Schizosaccharomyces pombe: one gene and its partners. The gene in region 3 interacts genetically with the main gene of each other region. Each region holds a gene or a part of one and is shown on either strand. Other genes may lie near its edges.

Evidence for each region.
Region 1: mutations in hmt2 (region 3) and pdc202 together harm fitness more than expected from each alone (negative genetic interaction), as found in Schizosaccharomyces pombe (one large-scale study listed by BioGRID).
Region 2: mutations in hmt2 (region 3) and fbp1 together harm fitness less than expected from each alone (positive genetic interaction), as found in Schizosaccharomyces pombe (one large-scale study listed by BioGRID).
Region 4: mutations in hmt2 (region 3) and rec7 together harm fitness more than expected from each alone (negative genetic interaction), as found in Schizosaccharomyces pombe (one large-scale study listed by BioGRID).

What each region holds. Positions count from the first base shown.
Region 1 is NC_003424.3:583,490-588,895, reverse strand, and holds pdc202 (pyruvate decarboxylase), read right to left. Parts: upstream 3,300-5,406; coding exon 1,584-3,299; 3' UTR 1,401-1,583; downstream 1-1,400. Other genes in the region: ysp2 (peptidase family M17 cytoplasmic leucyl aminopeptidase yspII (LAP yspII)), read right to left, coding at 4,863-5,406.
Region 2 is NC_003423.3:196,786-202,086, reverse strand, and holds fbp1 (fructose-1,6-bisphosphatase Fbp1), read left to right. Parts: upstream 1-2,717; 5' UTR 2,718-2,944; coding exon 2,945-3,988; 3' UTR 3,989-4,427; downstream 4,428-5,301. Other genes in the region: transcription factor TFIIF complex beta subunit Tfg2, read left to right, coding at 5,012-5,301.
Region 3 is NC_003423.3:2,588,155-2,593,679, reverse strand, and holds hmt2 (sulfide-quinone oxidoreductase), read left to right. Parts: upstream 1-2,746; 5' UTR 2,747-3,200; coding exon 3,201-4,580; 3' UTR 4,581-4,676; downstream 4,677-5,525. Other genes in the region: DNA-directed RNA polymerase III complex subunit Rpc25, read left to right, coding at 510-717, 834-920, 972-1,240, 1,375-1,422; tkt1 (transketolase), read right to left, coding at 5,102-5,525. UniProt on the Schizosaccharomyces pombe protein: Catalyzes the oxidation of hydrogen sulfide, with the help of a quinone.
Region 4 is NC_003421.2:1,545,376-1,551,069, forward strand, and holds rec7 (meiotic recombination protein Rec7), read right to left. Parts: upstream 3,695-5,694; coding exon 3,542-3,694; exon of another isoform or gene 3,485-3,541; coding exon 3,371-3,484; exon of another isoform or gene 3,266-3,370; coding exon 2,513-3,265; 3' UTR 1,676-2,512; downstream 1-1,675. Other genes in the region: tol1 (3'(2'),5'-bisphosphate nucleotidase/inositol-1,4-bisphosphate 1-phosphatase), read left to right, coding at 4,629-5,690. UniProt on the Schizosaccharomyces pombe protein: May be involved primarily in the early steps of meiotic recombination.

The DNA of each region.
Region 1 (5,406 bases), on a different chromosome or scaffold from region 3:
TATAATCTAGAAAAAGTCCAAGGAAAAAATATATCAGATGAAATCAATATTAATAAAATTGAACTCAATTGAGAAGGAAATTACGAGAATAAGCCTAAAGAATGGAGGTTAATCTCGAAGATATATAATAATTTGAAAAATTGGCAAAGATAGACAAAAGAATGTGACGAGTCAAAAATACACTAGCCGTCAATTTGCTTCCTTTTGGTCAGAGATGCGAAACAAGCTCACTGAAAAACAAAACGTAATGCTTGTAGTAGAAAACAAAATAATATAGGGAACTTAGTTAACCGAATGAATGAATAAAAAAGAAGAATCACTCGACAAAAACTGAGTTGGTATTTTAAAAAAAAAGATAAAAAATTCCTCAGAGGACTATAAGTGGGCCTGAGAAAAAGCGTGAAATAATAACAAAGGGAGAGGAGCTCAATAATTTCTAATTCACCTTAATGTATATCAAAGTGATATATTAATGAATATGCAACGCACAGAAGGAAATGGATTTTTTTATGAAAGCAAAACGTAATAAAATAAAAAGTCACCTACAACTTTTTAAACGGATTTAGATTAATTACCTATTGGAGGCACAAAACGCGTCACAAAAATTAATGCAAAGACAAAGCCGTTCAAAAAGCAAAGAAAAGAAAACAGAGCTTTGAGAACATTCACGCGTTTAACACTTTTGAGAAATGACGGGGAAATTTTTAGGATGCTAAAAAGCGGAATTTTAAGACTTCCTGGTTTAATTACTTTAGCCAAAGAAGTGATCTAAGCTTTATAATTATTAGTAGTCGGTATTTTAGGAATCACTAGTATGCCGAAATTACGAAACTAACCGATCAACACAGCCTCTTCCTATACTTACACAATTCTTGGAATTAGTAGCAAGAATTAAAAGAAAAAGCCAACGAATATTAACCAAAATATATTTTTTCAAGGTACCAAACGCCACGAAATGCAGCTTACCTTCCTATGCGAAAGAATAGAGCGCTGAAGTATGGTGTGGTGTAGAGTGTCAAAGTCAGAAGCTGCGTTGCAGAACCATTTATAAACAACAACGCAAACCGTTCGTCCGTTGCTGTGATAGAGTGATACATAATATCAGTCAATTGCCTTTACCCGCTACATTACCTAGGAAATCGTAATAAACGAGCGTTATAATTTCATTACGTTACAAAACCACTGTATTAAATAGTAGAATCACCCAATTTTTGTAAAACTAATAAATTCTTAGCATATCACAATGTGAATGGAACGGTAGCTCCTATGTAAGAAATAAGAATGTTAAAGTTGGCTTTTAAGCAGTTTAGCAATTTTTCTGCGAAACTAGTAAGTAGATGCAAGGAAACTGGTTTCCACATTGTTTGGATTAACTCTACCTTTTCATTCATTGCTTCCAAGGTATTGTTTGTTTACGTACACCCTAACTTGACTTGAAAAATTTTAAACTAAAAAGTTGCTTTAAACATAAATTTAATAACTAATCATTATACTAAAAGACTATATGAATTGAATGGGCTTATCATAAAAAACATATAAATCAAAGGAAACTTTGTTTGCCAATTCCACTCTCAATAGCTTGCTCATTGCTTATTGATCTTAGACGTCAACTTGGCTTGCTCAACTAGGACACGAGGTGCATCCAACATAGGCATTACAAGCTCAACTACTTGAATGACATCTGCATTTGCAAACTCCTTGTCGCTAAACAACTTTTCAACGTCAGTAGGAGTTTTAACACAGTAAGTGCGGAAGTGGTTTTCAGCAGCTCCGAAAAACTTGGGAATCTGTTGGTAGCCCCATTTAGTGTTAATTTCGTTATAGCTAGCATGCAAACCATGAATTAAACGCTCAATGGTGTAACCGTCGTTGTTAATTATGAAAATAATTGGTTTGAGGTTATGGCGAATGCAGGTTGAAATCTCTGTAATCGTCAGTTGTAAGGATCCATCACCTACTACAAGAATGGTACGACGATCGGGCTCTTTAGAATCGTGGACGGCCAAAACAGCACCAAACATTGCACCAACGGAGTATCCAATAGATCCCCATAATACCTGGGAAATGGCTGTTACATCCTTTGGAAACCTGCAATCAAGGACACCAAAGTTTGCAGTTCCAGTCTCGGTGATCAAAACATCTCGGGGCTTCAAAAATTCACTAAATTTAGGCCAAAACCAGCAATGAGTAATCTCGTTGGAAGAATATCCTTCCGCATGCTTAGGCTTGATGTTGTAGCCAATGGTAGGAGCAGCCTTGGAATGACACATAGAAGCATCAAGTACTTTCAACAGTTTGCGAAGAATATACTTCATGGCTACATTTGGATAAAGAGCATATCGAATGCGCATGTGGTCTGAATGAAACTCAACGGCATTCTTTTGGCTGAGGTGGTAAGAGAAGGAACCCGTGTTAAAGTCTGATTTGAGAGCACCGATGGATAGCAACAGATCAGTGGATTCAATTCTGTCTTTAACTTCAGGATCTGAAATTGAACCAACATAAACGCCGTCAAAAAATTGCGAAGTTTCGTCAATTGCAGATTTACCCATGGGAGTTACATATGTAGGGAAATGGGTCAATTTAATCAGCTCATGTACTTCTGGAACGACACGATGTCTTACAGCACAAGCGTCAATTAAAATCACTGGTTTCTTTGCATTGACAACCATTTCCGAGATATGATTGATGACTTCTTGCTCAACTGCTGGATCGTTAGTATCCTCCTCGAGCTTTAGTCTTTTCCCAAGATTTGATGAAGATGCTTTGAAGTAGCCAGCATCAGAAGGAATACCAATGTAAACAGGCCTAGCCTTTTTATAACAAATCGACAAGGCTTCATCGATCTTTTCAGCTGCATCGTTTCCGTTATCGATCATTATACTGTAGGCAGAAACTTTCTTAAACATATCCATGAAAGTGCGAAAGTCTCCATCTCCTAAAGTATGATGAAGCAAAGCTCCAGTATCTTGCACCTTTGTGGAAGGCATTCCAACAATATGAACTACTGGGACATGCTCCGCATAAGAACCTGCCACTCCATTAATAGCGGAAAGCTCTCCCACGCCGAACGTTGTAACAATGGCTGAAAGACCATTAACACGAGCATAACCATCAGCGGCATAAGCACCATTCAACTCATTGGTATTGCCAACCCAACGAAATTTCTCATCTCCAACTTTCTCAATTAAGTCAAGTAGAGCTAAATTGAAATCTCCTGGAACACCAAGAATGGACTTGACCCCTAATTGTTCAAGCCTTTTGAATAGATATTCACCGACTAAAATATCCCCACTCATGTTTGATAATGCAATTTAATGTGCTTGTGAAATATACTCAACAAATTACAATGCTGAGTGTGTATTCCTTTTTCGCAAGATAATTATCTGTTGAATAACCAGCAGATACTTTCTGAACTTAAAGGAACAAGTGAGTTTGCTAGCTAAAAGTTAAAAAGATATAACCTTAGATGCTTCAGAGCAGGGTTACTCTGGCTATATAAGCAACATTCCGTCATCAATGATACATTGAGTTAATGTGGATTATTCTTTTTGAAACTCTTGGTACGAAACCACTCGTCAGAGGCTATTTCATTATTCGACTCAAATCTCACTATGTGCCACCCGGGAAAACGTCAACTATGCAATTTGCAATTATTGATTTAAGGCATCGTCAGCAGTTTATACTGGACGATTCTTCGGTTAGTGTAAGCAACTGCAGAAATTATTATGAAAACTCTACATCACCGAACGTTCCGTCTCGAAATTCTTAATTGTATCTATACCAAAGACAAAATTGATACCTTTTACATTATGTCTAAACTGAATTTAATGACTATTCCTTATTTCAAGCTTATTAATTTACATGCTTTATTGGTTTGTACCATGTTTGTTTGGATACTTAACATTGAGAGCTGAATGTGAAATATTGTTTCGTCCGTAAAAGTAAGGCGTACCTCATGGTTACGAGACCATGTGACCACTCAAAAATAGAATCCTCATTATTATAAAGTATCCAAAAGTCTTTGAACATATTGCTGTAATTATGATTTCACATGAATATTAACGACATTTTTCAACCGAGTTCACGATTTGCCTGACATCTAGCAATATCGATTTCACAATTGATGGACCATTTATAGGCTTCTTGCTTTAATTCTGATTATTTTTTTCATTGTTATATTGCTACAGTGTTAAGCTTCAACTTGTTGTTTTTCTGTTTATCATATTGATTTGCAAATTGTAACGCTCCTTGCTATCCTCAATAGTTGCCATGAGCCAAACGGTATAGCAAGAAGTGATCTCCAGCACTGGTTCCCCCACCCCCACATGATGTGTACATTTAAGAGGGCAGGTAACGCTAATAAATAGTATGATAAATAATACAAAATTACTGTTATAAAAATTTCAACAGATATCTAAAAAAAATTGATTTGATCATATCCCAAAGTATTGTAAACTCGCACAGGAGAATATTCTACCTTTAAAGATTTAGTTTTGTATTATGATTTTGTTTGACAAAAGTAATAGTCATGAGTAAATTGATTACTACATTTAATAAACAAATCTATATTCAAAATAGAAAAAAAAAATTCGCTACTTCGAAAGTGAAATTTAACAACATGAGACTTCAACCGAATTGATTTTATTTTTAAAGGAAACAGAACCAGAGCCATCAGAAAGACTCGGTCCTTACAACCGTTATGAACGGTTGTGGAAAACAGTATTAAAAAGAATAAAATCATGATAGCTACATATCATTGACATACACTTAACAAGGACATTGAAAAATGAGATTGGTGTAATCAACAGTAAATAAGTAAAAACATAAAGTTTGCACATATAGCCAAGAAAATAAATAAGCTAATACTTGCGAGCGACTTCAATAATAGTGCGAACTGGGCGTCCGCTCATGCCGTCACAATCCCAAGAATTAAGCTGCTTATCCATAACTCCGGCAATGTCTAAATGAGCAAAAGACAAATCTTTCTGGGCTAAGAAGCATTTAATAAAGGCAGCCGCTGTACAACAACCACCACCGGCACGACTAACATTGCACAAATCAGCATTTGAAGAACTTGTAAGTTGCTTGAGGTAAGCCTCGTGAAATGGCATACGCCAGAAAAGGTCTCCAGCATCATGGGAAGCAGTTTCAAGATTCTTCCACAACTCTTCTCCTTGAACAAATGCACCAGTAAATACATTACCGAGGGCTACTAGCATAGCACCAGTTAATGTGCTGGCTTCAATCACAGCCTTGGTCTTATACTGAGAAGAGACATAGTGAACTGCATCGGCAAGAATAAGACGACCCTCAGCGTCAGTGTTATCAATTTCTACACTAAGACCGTTGCGCATAAAAATAACATCTCCTGGCTTAGCAGCAGAGCCAGAAGGAAGATTCTCA
Region 2 (5,301 bases), 2.4 Mb from region 3:
TTTGCGATTGTGTACCCGATATCCTAACAGCAAAGCAGTGAATTGGAAGATGAATTTACTACAATATCTGTAGTGTCTTTTAGTTACATTCAGAAAAGAAATTGATACGAAAATGTGCACGCTAAAAGCTCAAACCCATGTATACTTATGATCTTCCAATTGTACAAATTATTGCTATTTTCGCTAGTCTATAGATCGATCAGCCATTGACGTCAGCGCTCGTTTAGTATTTGAAAACAAACGCCAAGTTAGGTGTTTGTTTATTAATGTGTTTCTTTGGGTATATGAGTGTATGAAAATTCGACTCAAGCTCCTGTTAACACTTGATCTTTCTTTTGAATCGCGAATAGCATTGACTCCGATATCTCGGTTCAATTTTTTTGAGTAAATAGTAAACGTACGTTTCATAAAACTAACTTTAACAAAAAATTATCTACTTAGTGAATTAGTTCTCACTTGGATAAATACTTGTTTTTGTCAAGCTTTTAGCATGGTCAATTGATATCAAAAGGAACTCACTCCAAAAAAAATCGACCCCACTTGGGTCCATGAACCTCTCTTGTCTTGCATCTCTCAAGGACTGGATGGATGTGGGGGTTCGGGGAATCAAGAGTTTTCAATGGAGTAAGTGCAATCAAATAAATCAAAGCGACAAAGGATTAGAGCGAGGAGACGAGAAAAGATGGAAATACAATGAGTAAATTCGTATTAAAATTGATATCGTTTTAACGAAGGAAAAGAGAAAGTTACTCTACGTAGGTTTGCAAAAAAAAAATATATAAATGTAGATGTAGATGTAAAATTAATGTTAATGAGAAATTTGAAATTAAGGAAGCATAAATAGTATGGAGACATTATAGTTAATATGGACGATGAGTTAAAAGGAATAATTGGTTTAAGTGAAGCTAAAGAAAAATAAAAATAAAAAAATAAAAAGATGTCATTTAATATTAAATTTAAAAAAGACAACACACACATAAGAACTATTCAATAAAATAAAATAAACACAGTACAATAAAATAAAATAAATAACGATCTAACGAAACAGGAAAAAAAAAAAAAAATAATATATTACAAACAAAAAACAATCTCAAAAAGCTATCTTATAATTTGAGTATCCTAACCATAATATTTATTAACTCATATGTAAGTTTATCTTGGTAGAAGCTTTACCTTTAAGAATTGACTTCATTCCTACTCGCATCGCATTTGTTGCTTCTATTTTAGAGATAAAAGCTCTTTTAATTGAACTTATGCTTTTACCAACACGGCACGTGAATCAAGTTAGAATAATAGTCTAAATGTCCACAAAGGGTGGTTTCTCGTTCTATGAATAAATATAGTAGTAGCTTAGTGAAAATTCCACGGGACATTAGTTTATATAAGAATAAAAGTGAATGTATGAAAATTACATGTGAAGAATAAATTTGTGGTAAAATACACGTCTTTTAAAATATAGCTAATAGCACACATATTTTGAAGCATGCTTTATATCCTGCTCTTTCAATGCAAGGTTATTATCCCATTCTGAAGCCACATACCATCAACCCACGAAAAATCTCGTTAAATAAACAACACCAAATTTCCTTATTGCTAATAGGAAGGGCGGGATGAAAACAATCAACCTCAAAAATTTCTCCCTCTCTTTAATTACCTGGATGACCAGTCATTATAGAACGAATTTATTTTCTCCACTTCTTTCTATATCTTAAGGTTCATTTCTCCTCCTACTAACTACTCCATCCACCCACCCACCTTTAGCACTTCCCAATCATCTACGTCACAAAGCATTAGTACTCATCATCGAATTTCACAATTTCTGATTTTCGTTGCTGCATTCCAGCACACTACACTGCGCCATTTAGCTGTATAAGCCATGTTATGTTGATTCTGAGTTAACACAGGTAAGAAGACACATAAAGCCCACTTTAAACTTGAACTTGTATTCGTGTGCTCTAAAACGTACAACACTATACCAAAGCAGCACGAGAAAACAAGTTCAAGTTTAAAGAGACATAATAACACCTACAGCTACACAATGGCGATCAATCATACACAATTGCTAGACATCAAATCATAGGCAATTGGGGTCGATCTTATGTAATTGCTGTGGGTATGCAATTGAGGTCGGTGATGAAAGCAGCGGTCATGCTCGCCTCTCAATCCTTTACGAATGTATTAAGGGAGTGCCATGCCATGCCATGCCATTTTCTCAGTCACGTAAACCTCGATACGATACAAGCTCTAACCTTCCCATCCCGTATTTACGTTTTTGCAGTATTATAGGAAAGATGAATAGGGTGGAATGAGTCCGCTCTAGCAATCGTTTGGTAAGCCGGCTTCGTTGAATTGCAGTATGTCATTTGTTTAGCAGGCTGAAACAGCATTGCCCTGTAGTTTTCATTGCAAGCCCCTCGTTTTTTGAAGATTAGGTTTATCGTGTATGCATTTTTAATTAAGCGGATCACTCAGGTGGGCGTATGAAATAGGGATTTGCCATAGTTGTCCATTCAACTAAAGATTAGATTGTTAAAAGGCTTATGATTCGCGGAACTAAACATAGCGAATACTTCATATGCTGGCAAAACGTTGTTTACATGGGAAATACATGGCGCTTCCATCATGGCTCGTTGATTTTTGTAAATATATAAATAGTGGCGGGCAGCAGTCAAGGTGAAACGTTTGTTAGGATTTTTTTTGTTTACACTGGAGAGAGACAACACAACTCATTATTAATTTTTTCATCTTCGTCTCTCTCGTCTCTTATTATATCATCTCATCTCACCACTCGGTTTCTAGCCCAACTTAACTCAGCTCAACTCAGTTCTACTTAGAACCGATTTGCTCCTCTTTCTTAAAAACTTACTTCAGCTAGGATTCACCTGGCCAGCTTATTCAACTTCATTCCCCGTTTCTTGTTGATTCAGGTTTCGTTTACTCCATCATGAAAAAAGATCTCGACGAAATCGACACTGACATTGTCACACTTTCCTCCTTTATTTTGCAGGAACAGCGCCGATACAATCAGAAGCATAAAAATGAAGAAGGAAAACCTTGCATTATTCAAGAGGCTAGTGGGGAATTGTCATTACTGCTAAACAGTTTACAATTCAGCTTCAAATTCATCGCCAACACCATTCGTAAAGCAGAGTTGGTAAATCTCATTGGTTTATCGGGAATCGTCAATTCCACTGGCGATGAACAAAAGAAGCTAGATAAAATTTGCAATGATATCTTCATTACTGCGATGAAGTCGAACGGATGCTGCAAACTCATCGTTAGTGAAGAAGAGGAGGATCTTATCGTAGTTGATAGCAACGGTTCCTATGCCGTCACTTGCGATCCCATCGATGGCTCTTCCAACATTGACGCCGGTGTTAGTGTAGGTACCATATTTGGTATCTATAAACTGCGACCCGGCAGTCAAGGCGATATTAGCGATGTCTTAAGGCCTGGTAAAGAAATGGTTGCTGCTGGCTATACTATGTATGGTGCTTCGGCTCATTTATTGCTTACCACAGGTCATCGTGTCAATGGCTTCACCTTGGACACTGATATTGGCGAATTCATCTTGACCCATCGAAACATGAAAATGCCTTTGCAACATAGTATTTATTCCATTAATGAGGGTTACACTGCATTTTGGGATGAAAAAATCGCTCGTTTTATTGCTCATCTCAAAGAAAGCACACCAGACAAAAAACCATACTCTGCTCGATACATTGGTTCTATGGTCGCCGATATGCACCGTACCATTCTTTATGGTGGGTTGTTTGCTTATCCATGCTCAAAAGGAAATAACGGAAAGTTGAGACTTCTTTACGAATGTTTCCCCATGGCCTTCCTTGTTGAACAAGCAGGAGGTATTGCGGTAAACGACAAAGGAGATCGCATTCTGGATTTGGTACCCAAAACATTACACGGAAAAAGCAGTATTTGGCTTGGAAGTAAACATGAAGTCGAGGAATATATTAATTTCATAAAATAGTAATTCCTAGTTCTTTGAAGTCCTCTCCGTTACTTTTTATCTTCTTATCACCAAACATGGTTATTCCATTCCAATAATGCAGAAACTGAAACTTTTGTCAATTATTCTCTGCATCATCATAAACATGGATCTCCAATTAGGTTATTTTTCTCACATATATATGTATATATATATAATATTTGTATATGAATACATGTATCTTTTAGATGAAAAACTTATGGTTGACAGTTGCACTTTGTCAACCTCTTAGTTTTTTAACTTAAAGAAAAAGAGATAATAGTTTTTGTCGTGGATAGAGATTTTAAGGTGGAATTCACCTATTTTTCAGAGGACGTTGGAAAAGCTTAATGTTTTCAAGTAATGTTTTAGGATACATAAGTACATTTGAAATAAATGTCTTTATTAAAAAACAAACAGCTACATTTGTTGTGATTTTTTCTGTATTCAATAATCATCTGCTAACTGTATTTTCTAAACCGTAAAGTCCAAATCCTGACTGTAGACAAGTTAGTCTTTGTTTACGGCAAGATGTTGAATGGAAGTAAAGACGCCGTCAGTTGCAGTACACTTCATAACATTATTTTTTGACCAGGGTGACATTCACAGGCTCAAAAGAAGGAAATACCGAACAATTCAATCCAACGTGAACTGTTTCTGTAACAGTACTCCCTTAAACATTCGATATATTTTTCTCGTAGAAAGCTACATCTTTTTAAAATACCAAAGTGTCTAACAATATTCTAAACTTGTTTTTAAGGATTGATTACTTTATGTGAATTTAAATTACCGAGGGCTATATGCAATTCTCGACTTCACTCCGTACCTTAAATCGGTTTGTTAAAATAAGTTAGTGAAGTACAATGACATTTCGGTAAAATATTTATGCGATGCTTGTAAAGAACCGTAAATCAAAGTTGCTTTAGGGAGGCGACATCAATGCTTCTTTCTCTTAACTTGTTAAAGAAAGAACCATTGAATAGTGGAAACTGCTTGAGTAATTTTCACTATTTTGAAGGATTTAAAATGTCTGAAGAAAAACCGACGGTTCGAACTGAGGAGGATGACCGCTATGAAGACGATGCTGGTGATTTAGATTTGGGTCAAATTGGCTCAAGAGTGTGGTTAGTTAAAATTCCCAAGTTTTTGATGGACAAATGGAATTCAATTCCAGAAGACGATGCCGCTAATCTAGGGTGTGTTCGGGTCAAGAATGATGAAATACAATTACTTCTTCAAAACAGTCCTGAAAATGCAGACGTCCCTAAAATTTATAATTTACGCGTAATGAATAAGTTTGTTAGGAATTCTTATGT
Region 3 (5,525 bases):
TAACTGCTCATGAGCATGTATATCGACAGAACACTCAACAATCTTGTTATATTCATCCTTTTAACTATTTAAAATTTATATTAATTCTGTAATAAATTTGTATGTTTGAATAAGCGATTGAAACTTCTACTCATTATAATTTTTCAATTGTAAACAATATTTCATGGATTTGTCTTAAAGCTACTGCGCTAAAACTTCACTGGCCTCGCTAAGTCGTTTAACACGCTTTTCATTAGATCGTTAACTCGCCATGAATGGTCTGGTATGCAACATAATCTTCGTATTCATATTTTTACGCGACCTGGCAAAGAAAGCTGGGCTTGCAGTTAAATTACTTTTTTGAAAGGTTCCTTTTGATTTATGCAAAGTTGTTGACCAAAAGGTTAAGAAATATTTTTAAATTGGATTGTGATCCACTGTTGTATTTCTAATTATTTATCGTTCTATTCAAGTTAAAGATTTTTTCTACAAGGTGGTAAAAACTACGAGTAATAGCCGTTTTATTATTTATGTTTCTCTTGAGTCGGTTTTCAGACATTATAAGCATCCATCCATCCAATTTTTGGAAGCCTACAAAGGAAGCACTGGCTGAAGAAATCCATAAAAAGTATGCTAACAAAGTGATACAAAACATTGGACTGGCTATTTGCGTTTATGATTTTTTGAAAATTGGGGAAGGAATAATTAAATACGGAGATGGCTCTTCATACATGAATGGTAAGTATAAGTCTGCTCACTTTATTTCATATGCCAATTCGCATTATCAATACGAAAGGCTGTCAGGATAGTGATTCAGTGGAAAAGAAAAACTTAAATGGTTCTAATTAGATTAGTGGTTTTCCGCCTTATAATCTTTCGTCCTTTTCGAGGTGAAGTAATGCTGGGAAAAATAAAATCGTGCAGTGAAGAAGGTATTCGGGGTATGTTAAATGTGTTTGTTTAAATGCTTGTTGTTAATGTTTTTCTCCCAGTAACTATTAGCTTTTTTGACGATATTTTCATTCCGAAAGATATGCTTTTCGATCCATGTGTCTTTCGTCCGGATGAGCGTGCCTGGGTATGGAAAATTGAAGGGGAGGACGGCTCAGAGGGAACCGAATTGTATTTTGACATTGATGAAGAAATACGCTTTCAAATAGAATCTGAGGACTTTGTTGATATTTCACCTAAGAGGAATAAAAATGCAACCGCGATTACAGGCACAGAAGCATTGGAATCGGTATCCCCATATACATTGATTGTAAGTTTTTTTTTTTATGTTTAGGGCGAAACTTGTGTCATTATTTATGAAGGGTGCACCATCTATTTGCTAGTATACAAGAAAATATTTTCTGCTTCTCTCAAATCGATAGAATTTACTAACTATATATTTAGGCTTCCTGTTCTCGTGATGGACTGGGCATTCCTGCTTGGTGGAAATGAGCTATTGGATTCGAATCAAAGTCAAACAAAATTTAAAAGCATCAATTAATCATTTACTCCAAATTGTATAAGTAGACTTTCATTCATGTTCTATTTTTCTTCATCTAATGCATCACCAAAATTTCCCAAAAATCACGTGGTCTAGAAAATGGTTGCAATTCTATTCTGTACATTCATCCCGTCTTATAAATTTCATTGCCGAAGGTTTTTGCACAAACCTTTTGGGGTTTTATTATTTCGTTGGAGATACCTGTGTTGTTTTTAGACATGTCCTACTTAAAGGTTGCTTTTAGTGAAAAAGGGTTATTTATAAATCAACTACTTCTTTTTTTTTTTTTTTTTTTAGCTTTTCTCTATTTAAAGGTATATTATTGTATCGAAAAATCAGTTTGTTTACATCTTTGCACAGCAACACATAATGGTTATGAAAACGGCGTTCTTCAAAATTTACCTTCTTGGATGATCATGGTATTTGCTAACAGGGGGCTACTTTAATAAAGGTACTTTCATGTCAAGCTTAAATTTAATCTGGTTAAAAGAGTCATATGTTCTAAAACTTTATATTCAATCTAACAACTGAAGATTCCGCACTGCGTAAAGGAATTTTTCAATGTTAAACAAACGATCCATGCTATGTATGATTTGATTGATTTTGGTATTGTGTATACTAATGTTTAGTAGTATTACCGAATATGGAAAATTTAATTAATTACACAAAAGAGCCGATTCATTTTATAGCATAATAGAATATCAGTCTACTTTTTATGAACAATGTTTGCTTCTTCAGCAAAGAATGTCCATCGCCAACCCACGTTACTCTTTAGTACAGCCGATTTTCGTTATATGTCAGAAAATAGCAACCTTAACATTTCAGCGCCTTGCTATTTGCTATTTGAAAATGACCAACAGCAATTTGACAAACTTCTAATTTTGTTGTATTTGTGCACAAATGCATGGACGTTATAAAGGATTCTTTCGGCTACTGTACTACTTTAGGGATAAACGAATATTTTTGCAAAATTAAAAATACACATACCCACAAAATCATTCACTTTCTTACTTCTAGTACTATTATTAATTTACGGAAACATGCATTAAGCAGCTTTTATGAGTTCCTTAAGCCTCGATAGCTTTTGCTTTACAAACTTTAATGAAACTTAGCAAATCCACGTGATTTGCCCCTAAAATGAATAAAGTTATGCCACATATTTCGGAATCACAAGCAAAGCGCAAGCACTTGACAAAATTGCGTAACCGATTACGCCTTCGGAGCTGACGTGAGTTATCGACTGAATATAAACACCTTATGCTGCTAATTCTGATTAGTCGACTGTATTTGCAAATATTTTCTACATAGGCTTGTCTTCCGTTAATTCTATTTTGTACACTACACCATTCTTTTTAGACGACAGCCGGTAGACTAAATTGTGCTTGTTTCTTGAACAATTAAAGTACATTGAAGAGTGCATATAAAAGAAATAAAAAATTTTTTTTTTTCTTTTACTTCGCTTGAGTCAAAACAGACTAGCACTTATTCTAGTACACTTGAAAGGTGGTGCTTGTTTGACTACATTCTTTGATATTGTAATCAAAAATTTTTTTTTTAAAAATTCCTTTTCTCCTGATTTACTTATTGAGGTGTTAAATTCTTGAAATTTTAAACGCGTTTTTTCCGCTCAACCTCTGTTTTCTTGTGTTTTATTAGGCTACTTTTTGCCTCCTTTTTTTTTCCTTTACCTTTAAAAAAACACTTCTCTTTTGCATTTTTGCAACTAAAAATGTTGACCTTAAACTCAACAATCAAGTCGGTCACCGGCTCATTTCAGTCCGCTTCCATGTTGGCTCGATTCGCCTCTACCCATCACAAGGTTTTAGTAGTTGGTGGTGGATCCGCTGGTATATCCGTCGCCCATCAAATTTACAACAAGTTTTCTAAATACCGCTTTGCCAATGACCAAGGCAAAGATACATCCCTCAAACCCGGTGAAATTGGTATTGTGGATGGTGCCAAGTATCATTATTACCAACCTGGTTGGACTTTGACTGGTGCTGGATTGAGTTCTGTTGCTAAGACCAGACGAGAATTGGCTAGCCTGGTTCCTGCTGACAAATTTAAACTCCATCCTGAATTTGTTAAATCCTTACATCCTCGTGAAAACAAAATAGTTACTCAAAGTGGTCAAGAAATTAGCTATGATTATTTGGTTATGGCAGCTGGTATTTATACTGACTTTGGCAGAATCAAGGGTTTAACTGAGGCTTTGGATGACCCCAACACCCCTGTAGTTACTATCTATTCAGAAAAATATGCTGACGCTGTTTATCCTTGGATTGAAAAAACCAAGTCTGGAAATGCCATTTTTACTCAACCCAGCGGTGTCTTGAAGTGTGCCGGCGCTCCACAAAAGATTATGTGGATGGCTGAAGATTATTGGCGTCGTCATAAAGTTCGTTCCAATATTGATGTATCCTTCTACACTGGTATGCCTACTCTTTTCTCGGTTAAGCGCTATTCTGATGCCCTTCTTCGCCAAAATGAGCAATTACATCGCAATGTCAAGATTAATTATAAAGATGAGCTTGTTGAAGTTAAGGGATCTGAACGTAAAGCCGTATTTAAGAATTTAAACGATGGCTCTCTCTTCGAGCGTCCTTTTGATCTTTTGCATGCCGTCCCCTCTATGCGTTCTCATGAGTTTATCGCAAAGAGTGATTTGGCTGATAAATCTGGTTTTGTTGCTGTTGATCAATCTACTACACAATCGACCAAGTTCCCCAATGTTTTCGCTATCGGTGATTGCAGTGGTTTGCCAACTAGTAAGACTTACGCTGCCATTACTGCACAAGCTCCTGTTATGGTCCACAATCTTTGGAGTTTCGTTAATGGAAAGAATTTAACTGCATCATACAATGGTTACACTTCATGCCCGCTACTCACTGGCTATGGTAAGCTTATCTTGGCCGAATTCTTGTACAAACAAGAACCTAAAGAATCTTTCGGTCGCTTTTCTCGTTTCCTTGACCAAACTGTACCTCGTCGCATGTTTTATCACCTTAAGAAGGACTTCTTTCCTTTTGTTTACTGGAATTTCGCCGTCCGCAATGGTAAGTGGTATGGCAGCAGAGGTTTGATTCCTCCTCACTTTCCTGTTAATTAAAGATTCAATCATCTTTCTTGCGTAAAATAATGCAATCTGCTAGGCATGATTTAGTAGCAACCCTTATATAATTGAATGTTACCCCCTTTCCTTACCATACCTTTACTAGGTTTATCTTTGATTAGAAAAACAGTGTTGATTATTAAGTACTCTAAAGTTATGTACGTCTGTGAATGTTTGAATAAAGTTATTAAATAAATATCAACTTTTTACTTCTAATTTTAAATATGAATAAAAATAGTTTGTAATACATCAACTATAAACGCCAGTAAACTGCACTTACATTGACTAAAGTAGATGCAAAATTATTGTAATACTCTACTCACAATTCCAACTATATCGTCGAATATCATATATACAAAAATATATATATTTATGCATTCATATTTTGCTCACATTTATAGACTTACATTCAAATAAAGACAAAACACAATTCACTCATAACTACTTCCTTCCGCACGAATTGAATTCTAAGCCAGCAAATCAATCCTAAAAGAATCTAGAGAAAAAATGCTACTAAATTAGAAAGCACGGCGGACAGGGGAACGAATATAAGGGATATCCTTGTAAGCATCAACAGTCTTTTTGGCACGTTGAGCAACACCAGAGGTGGTGAAATGGAATTTCTCGTATAATTTGGGAGCAGGGCCAGAGTCACCAAAAGTGTGCATACCAAAGGCCTCGTGAACGTAACGTCTCCAACCATTGGTAGCCCAAACCTCGACGGACATAGCAGGAATACCGTCAGGAATGACAGAAAGACGGTAGCTTTCTGGTTGTTGTTCGAAAACTTCCCAGCAAGGCAATGAAACGACACGAGCCTTCAAGTTGTACTCGGTCTCAAGGGTCTTGACAGTGTCAATGCAAAGAGAGACTTCAGAACCAGTACCGACAAGAGTAATATCGGCCTCCTTGTTCTCCAACATGACATAACCACCCTTAAGA
Region 4 (5,694 bases), on a different chromosome or scaffold from region 3:
AAGCCACTTATGCACGTTTTGCAAGGCTCTTAATAGCGTGGCGAACCTTCTTAAGGATATTGAAGAATAGGGAAATCGGAGGCGGTATGGCTTGCAATTAACGCCGTACAGTGAATAAAGCGGTACTAAATCAAATCGGTGAAATTTACCGATAATTAAGGAAAAGACAAATCAATTGAAGGCGCCGTGGTTTGGGTTGGCTGATGGAGTTGGCTTGATTATAAGTAATGATGGCGGAGAGTTGCCGCCTTTGCTGTTGTGTATGAGTGTGTAGTGAATATGCACAAATATACCTCAACGACTAATGGATAAGGTGTTATAGCAAGTACAGTAGTTAAGTACCAATGCGGGATTTTTCTGAAAAAATATGCAAGCACACGGGCTTGACAGAAACACAAGAGGAGACAAATAAACCAAAGTCTCCGCACCTTAAGTCCACAGAAGAAGAATAAAAAAAAAGATCGCAATTGAATTATGTGAGGGGGCCCAGGCGTCAATAGTACAGAGTCGATTGACTAAGTAGATTTAAGATCACAAGCTGTAGAGCAAATCAGAAATTTGCACCTACGCAGAGACAATGAACAATTGTAATTTCAGAAAAAAAAATATCGACAACGATTCAAATTCCGAGTAATTTTCTAGCAAGACTATTGAAGAAAAAATTTCCCTAATCCCTTGATGAGCCTTGTCGCACTAACACAATATCGGCGATGCTTTCACACTCCTAGATGTGCTACCACCAACCATTATAACTTATGAAAAAAATTTGTAGTATCGCTGTAAACGAAATTTTTGTGTAAGAATGACGAGAGTTGTTTTTGCACAGACAAACGAGGTTCGGACGATCGGCCTATTTTTTAAGTACGATAGTGATTAGTATAGTATATCGTGAGGAGCAAATACAATCGCATAAAAAAAATCAGGGTGAAAAGAATCATTTCAGAGTGCGTTAATGAGAAAGTCCTCGTTATAAAAGAAAAAAAGGAACCGATGATTTAAAGTTATTGATGGTTTTAAAAAACAGCGTTTATTTTTACAGTGTTTAAAGTCAAGTCAATATTAGGCACAAGAAGAGGTCACACTTTATTTTCAAAAGAAAATGGATGAAATGCAACTCCATGCGTTGCGATAAGCGTTAAACACCAATCTAGGAAGCAGTCCCTCAACAGAAATGAAGCGAAAATCGAATGATGGTGAGAATAGAATAATAAAACGAGCCCCGGTAAATTGAAAGTTGATAGAATCAAGTTTCAATTAGGGGTAATGAAAACGTGCTTAAAAATAGGGAGTAATGTTGTAGTTACCAAAATGAACAATTCGGACCAGACCAATAAATATTGTCGAAATAAAACAAGGAGTGTTAAATTTTATTATTATGTCTTTATTCTCCTTGGAAACCGGTTCGTCCACGTGAAGAGAATTCTATTAGCATTGTCGAAACCGTTTGATCCGGTTATGCCTTCATATCTTTGAAAACATTTCCGCCAATTCCACCAAGTGAAAATCACAATATCGTTAGTCGGTATTGTCTTTAGGTTTACTAGCGGGGGCGTTTTTGTTTTGAGGAAAAAAGAATATTCTCTGGTTTCCATCTACCTTAAGTGCCGATTAGGCAGATAAGCTAGATTAAGTGAAATGGGAAACGGGATTCATTTTCCATTGACAACACTTTTAAACATTATTTGATAATTCGCATGCAACCCTTCAAAGTCGATTCGACATTTTAAGGTTTACTTCACGGACATTGAAATCATTGTGAAGCTTTGTAGACTGTTGTCTCTCTCGGAAGTACCCAAAAAAAAAAAAAAAATCCTTTTTACACTCATAACGTTCTAGCTGTTTCATCCCTTTAAAAAATATCATGTTTTTTTTTTGGTGCTCGGAACATTTACTTTCTCCACTTGGTTCGTCTATTTTTGAAGTTAAACTAACTATTTGACCATTTTCGTACTTAATGTCATGAACTCCTCTCGTGGATTGTTAAGTCAATTATCAAAACCAACCACCAACTCAATTTTAACCGTTGTAACCTGACCCATTATTAACACTAGTATTCATGCTGTACTTGCGGCAATTCCCCCATCAAAAAGTTTTCAGAGTTGTCTTTTGATACCGATTATGTGTCGTGGTGGAGGCTTACACCCCAAGGATCGGAACGGGATCTTCTCAATTTGATTTTAATGCTCTGCATGGACAAGCCTAAGGGAAAAGAGTCATGCAACAAGTAGAGAAATTTATTTCAACATTGTTGTGTTGGCGGTTTCTGTTTGCTAATCCTCAGCAACGATCATATGCAGTTGAGATCTCGACCAACTTTTCGTTAAATAATGTCAAAATTTGCAACAAATGTTTTATCACGGTACTCGAAGAATGTGAACTTAATGAAGTTTCTCATTTGGTTGCCAAATTGTGGTCACACATCAATTTTGTCGAAATAACCATTCCGATCCTGATTTCGTTCCATTTTTACTACTTTTTTAAATTTGGGATTAAGTTGAATTGGTCTGTCTTCCTACATCTTGTTCCATACCCGTTCCAAACTTTGACATAATTGGATGAAGCTGTCTTGTTTTAGATAGAATAATACCTTGGAGCGTAATTGCTTTTCCTCTTCAGTAAGTTCTGTTGGTAGGATTTGTGAAGTCGTTGGGGGTGATGGAATCAAATTTGCGTATGCTTGGTTCTCCGGTTGAGCAACCCACGAAGCCTGTGTCTGAGAGTTCAGCGGCGTAGCAGCAATAATGGGGTATTGTGAGTTTGCACCGTAAGAGTAGGCATTACGATTGGGATTAAAAGGTGATGAAGTTATCACCACGTTTTCATCCCAAGTGGGTTGTTGTGACGCAGTAATACTTTCAATTGATGTATCACTTCGAAGGGGCATTTGGGTCATGCCCGCATCCCCGCGGAATCGCTTAAGCGGTGGTGTATTGGAGAAGATTTCAGCATTTGGCATGACATGCTGCAGTGGTGCTGGATTGACATAGTTTGTGCTATTGTTCACAGCAGTTGTTGCTGTTTGGGTCATGGGGATATAACTCGGTTGTAATAAAAGATTTGGCTGTTGCGCCGATGACTTGTTATATGCATTGTTCATCAACGAAAGTTCCTGTGAGTTATTAGATTGACTTTGGGAGTTATTGAATTGCTTCTTCTCAGAGGAAGACTTTGCATCTTTGAACACCAGGCCTAGCTTCTCAAATTCAACTTTGGCTTTCATATAATGCACGTCAGATGGGAATTTCACTTGAAATCTTTTCATCACCTAAATTTATTAACAACAAAATACGCTTCATCAACACTCCATTTTTTTTTTTAAAAAAAGAGGCCTCAATGTGATTTTGAATAAATCTGCTTTTGTTTTACTTACATTATTAGTGAAAGCACGAATATTCATACACGGAGCGCGTGAAAGCAGAGTTAGACATTTTTCCTTCGTTCCCGGTATCAATTGGTGCCAGAGATCTAACAAGTTTATACTTTGCTGTTTGTTTGTTAAAAATATTGAATTTTTCTAGCAATATGGTTTCATGTCGCGTACAATTAATTCTTCGTGTTGACGAATTTGAAGCAATCCAGACGTTAATGAGAGTGTAAAACCTCCATCTGAATAATGTGACCAGTTGATATGGGAGGAATCTGTAGTATACGAATCCTCAGCTACAGAGTACTTAACAATTGGGAAAATGTTCATGTTTGTTTATGTTTGAATATGAGAAGACGCGTTAGACTGAACCTCATTTATCTGATAACGCAGTACGTTCCGTCACGGTGTATTACTTTTGTTTACATTTATGAGTTGACCTGAAAACGACTAGACTTTATGGAATGTAAGTCTTGTTATCACAATATATTACATATGATTGTAATTTGCCATAAGGAAACTATTTCTTCAATCTGTATTGAGGAATATCTGATTGTTCATTAATTTCTCAAGTCTCTTCAAACAACAGTATTTTGAGAGAAAGGAAATTTTATGAGCAGTTTCTTCTTTTACTAATCAATCCCTTTAAAATATTTTTATGCCTTCATTTCATCCTTGGTATCTACACTTATATAAAAATTTTAGGCATATTTGCCTGTTAAAGGGAAACGCAAGATACGGACTTGCACTGCTTTTAAATTATGCGTTTTTTCCATCAGAATGATATTTTTTTTCCTTAATATTATATTTCATCCTTTCTCCATAGGTTGGAAGGGTTGGCGAACTGCTTTGCCAATACCCAGACTTTAGTAGTGTCGTTTGTATAATTAATGAAAACCTAAAATGTGGACATGGAGAAACCTGTTTTAAAATATTAACATGCTCTTTTCACAATAGAAACTACATAATCATTATTGTTTAATAAAAGTTAGCATAACCTGCGATTTTACAAAAAAAAAAGGTCTTTTAGTCAGAAAAAATGAAACTCTTTCTCGTTTCATAACAATTTTTTAGTTCTTTCTTCTATTTGAACAATATTTTTGGTTAAATGTGGAAACGTCAATTAAACACCGTATATGCTGATTTCATATTCTTCGCACTTCCACTGCCCAGGTTTACAAAAATTTCCAAACTCCGTGTTAACAGGAAATTTGGTGCTAAAATCATACCTCCATTAATAAATAACATTAGAAAATTATTTACCATGAGCTTTGATGCCGAAAAACAATTAGCTATTGCTGCTGTGCGCAGAGCTAGCTATTTGACCGAAAAAGTGTTTAATCAACTTATCAAGGAGAAGAGTGCTGCTGGGGCACTTACTAAAGATGATAAATCACCTGTGACTATTGGCGATTTTGGTGCTCAAGCTATCGTAATCTCTATGTTAAAAGATGCATTTCCCAATGATCCAATTGTTGGCGAAGAGGATTCCGACTTTTTGAGAGAAAACACCCAAACCTGCTCTCGTGTTTGGGAATTAGTTCAAGAAACTATCCAACATGCTACTGAATACAAAGAGCTTGGTCAAATCAAGTCAGCTGAAGAAATGATGAGCATTATTGACCAAGGATCATATCACGGTGGTCGCAATGGTCGTATGTGGACTTTGGATCCCATTGATGGAACTAAAGGATTTCTACGTGGTGCCCAGTATGCTATTTGTTTAGCTTTGATTGAGAATGGAAAACCTGTGGTAAGTGCCATTGGATGCCCTAATCTTCCATATGACTTTAATCAGCCCGAGACAAGTCCCAAAGGTATCATAATGTCCGCTGTTCGTAACCATGGTTGCTTCCAGTATTCTCTCCATAACGAAAAATTAGAACCAGTTCAAGTGCACATGCAAGATGTTCAAAACACCAAGGATTCAAAATTTTGCGAAGGAGTAGAGGCTGGTCATTCAATGCAAGGAACTCAAGAAGAAATTGCAAAGTACTTAGGGATTACTCGTGGACCTACCAAGATGGATTCTCAAGCCAAATACGCTAGTCTTGCTCGTGGTGATGGTGACATCTACCTTCGTTTACCAACCAAAATGACATTTGAAGAAAAAATTTGGGATCATGCTGGTGGTTCTCTTCTTGTTGAAGAGGCTGGTGGTGTTGTTTCTGATATGTTTGGCAAACCTTTGGACTTTGGTGTAGGAAGAACTCTTAAGAACAATAACGGTGTTATAGCCGCCTACAAAGGTATTTTTGAAAAGGTAATTGAAGCTACTGCAGCTGTAACATCTAAAGACCCTCACTTTCAAAAGGTCGCCCAATAATCTG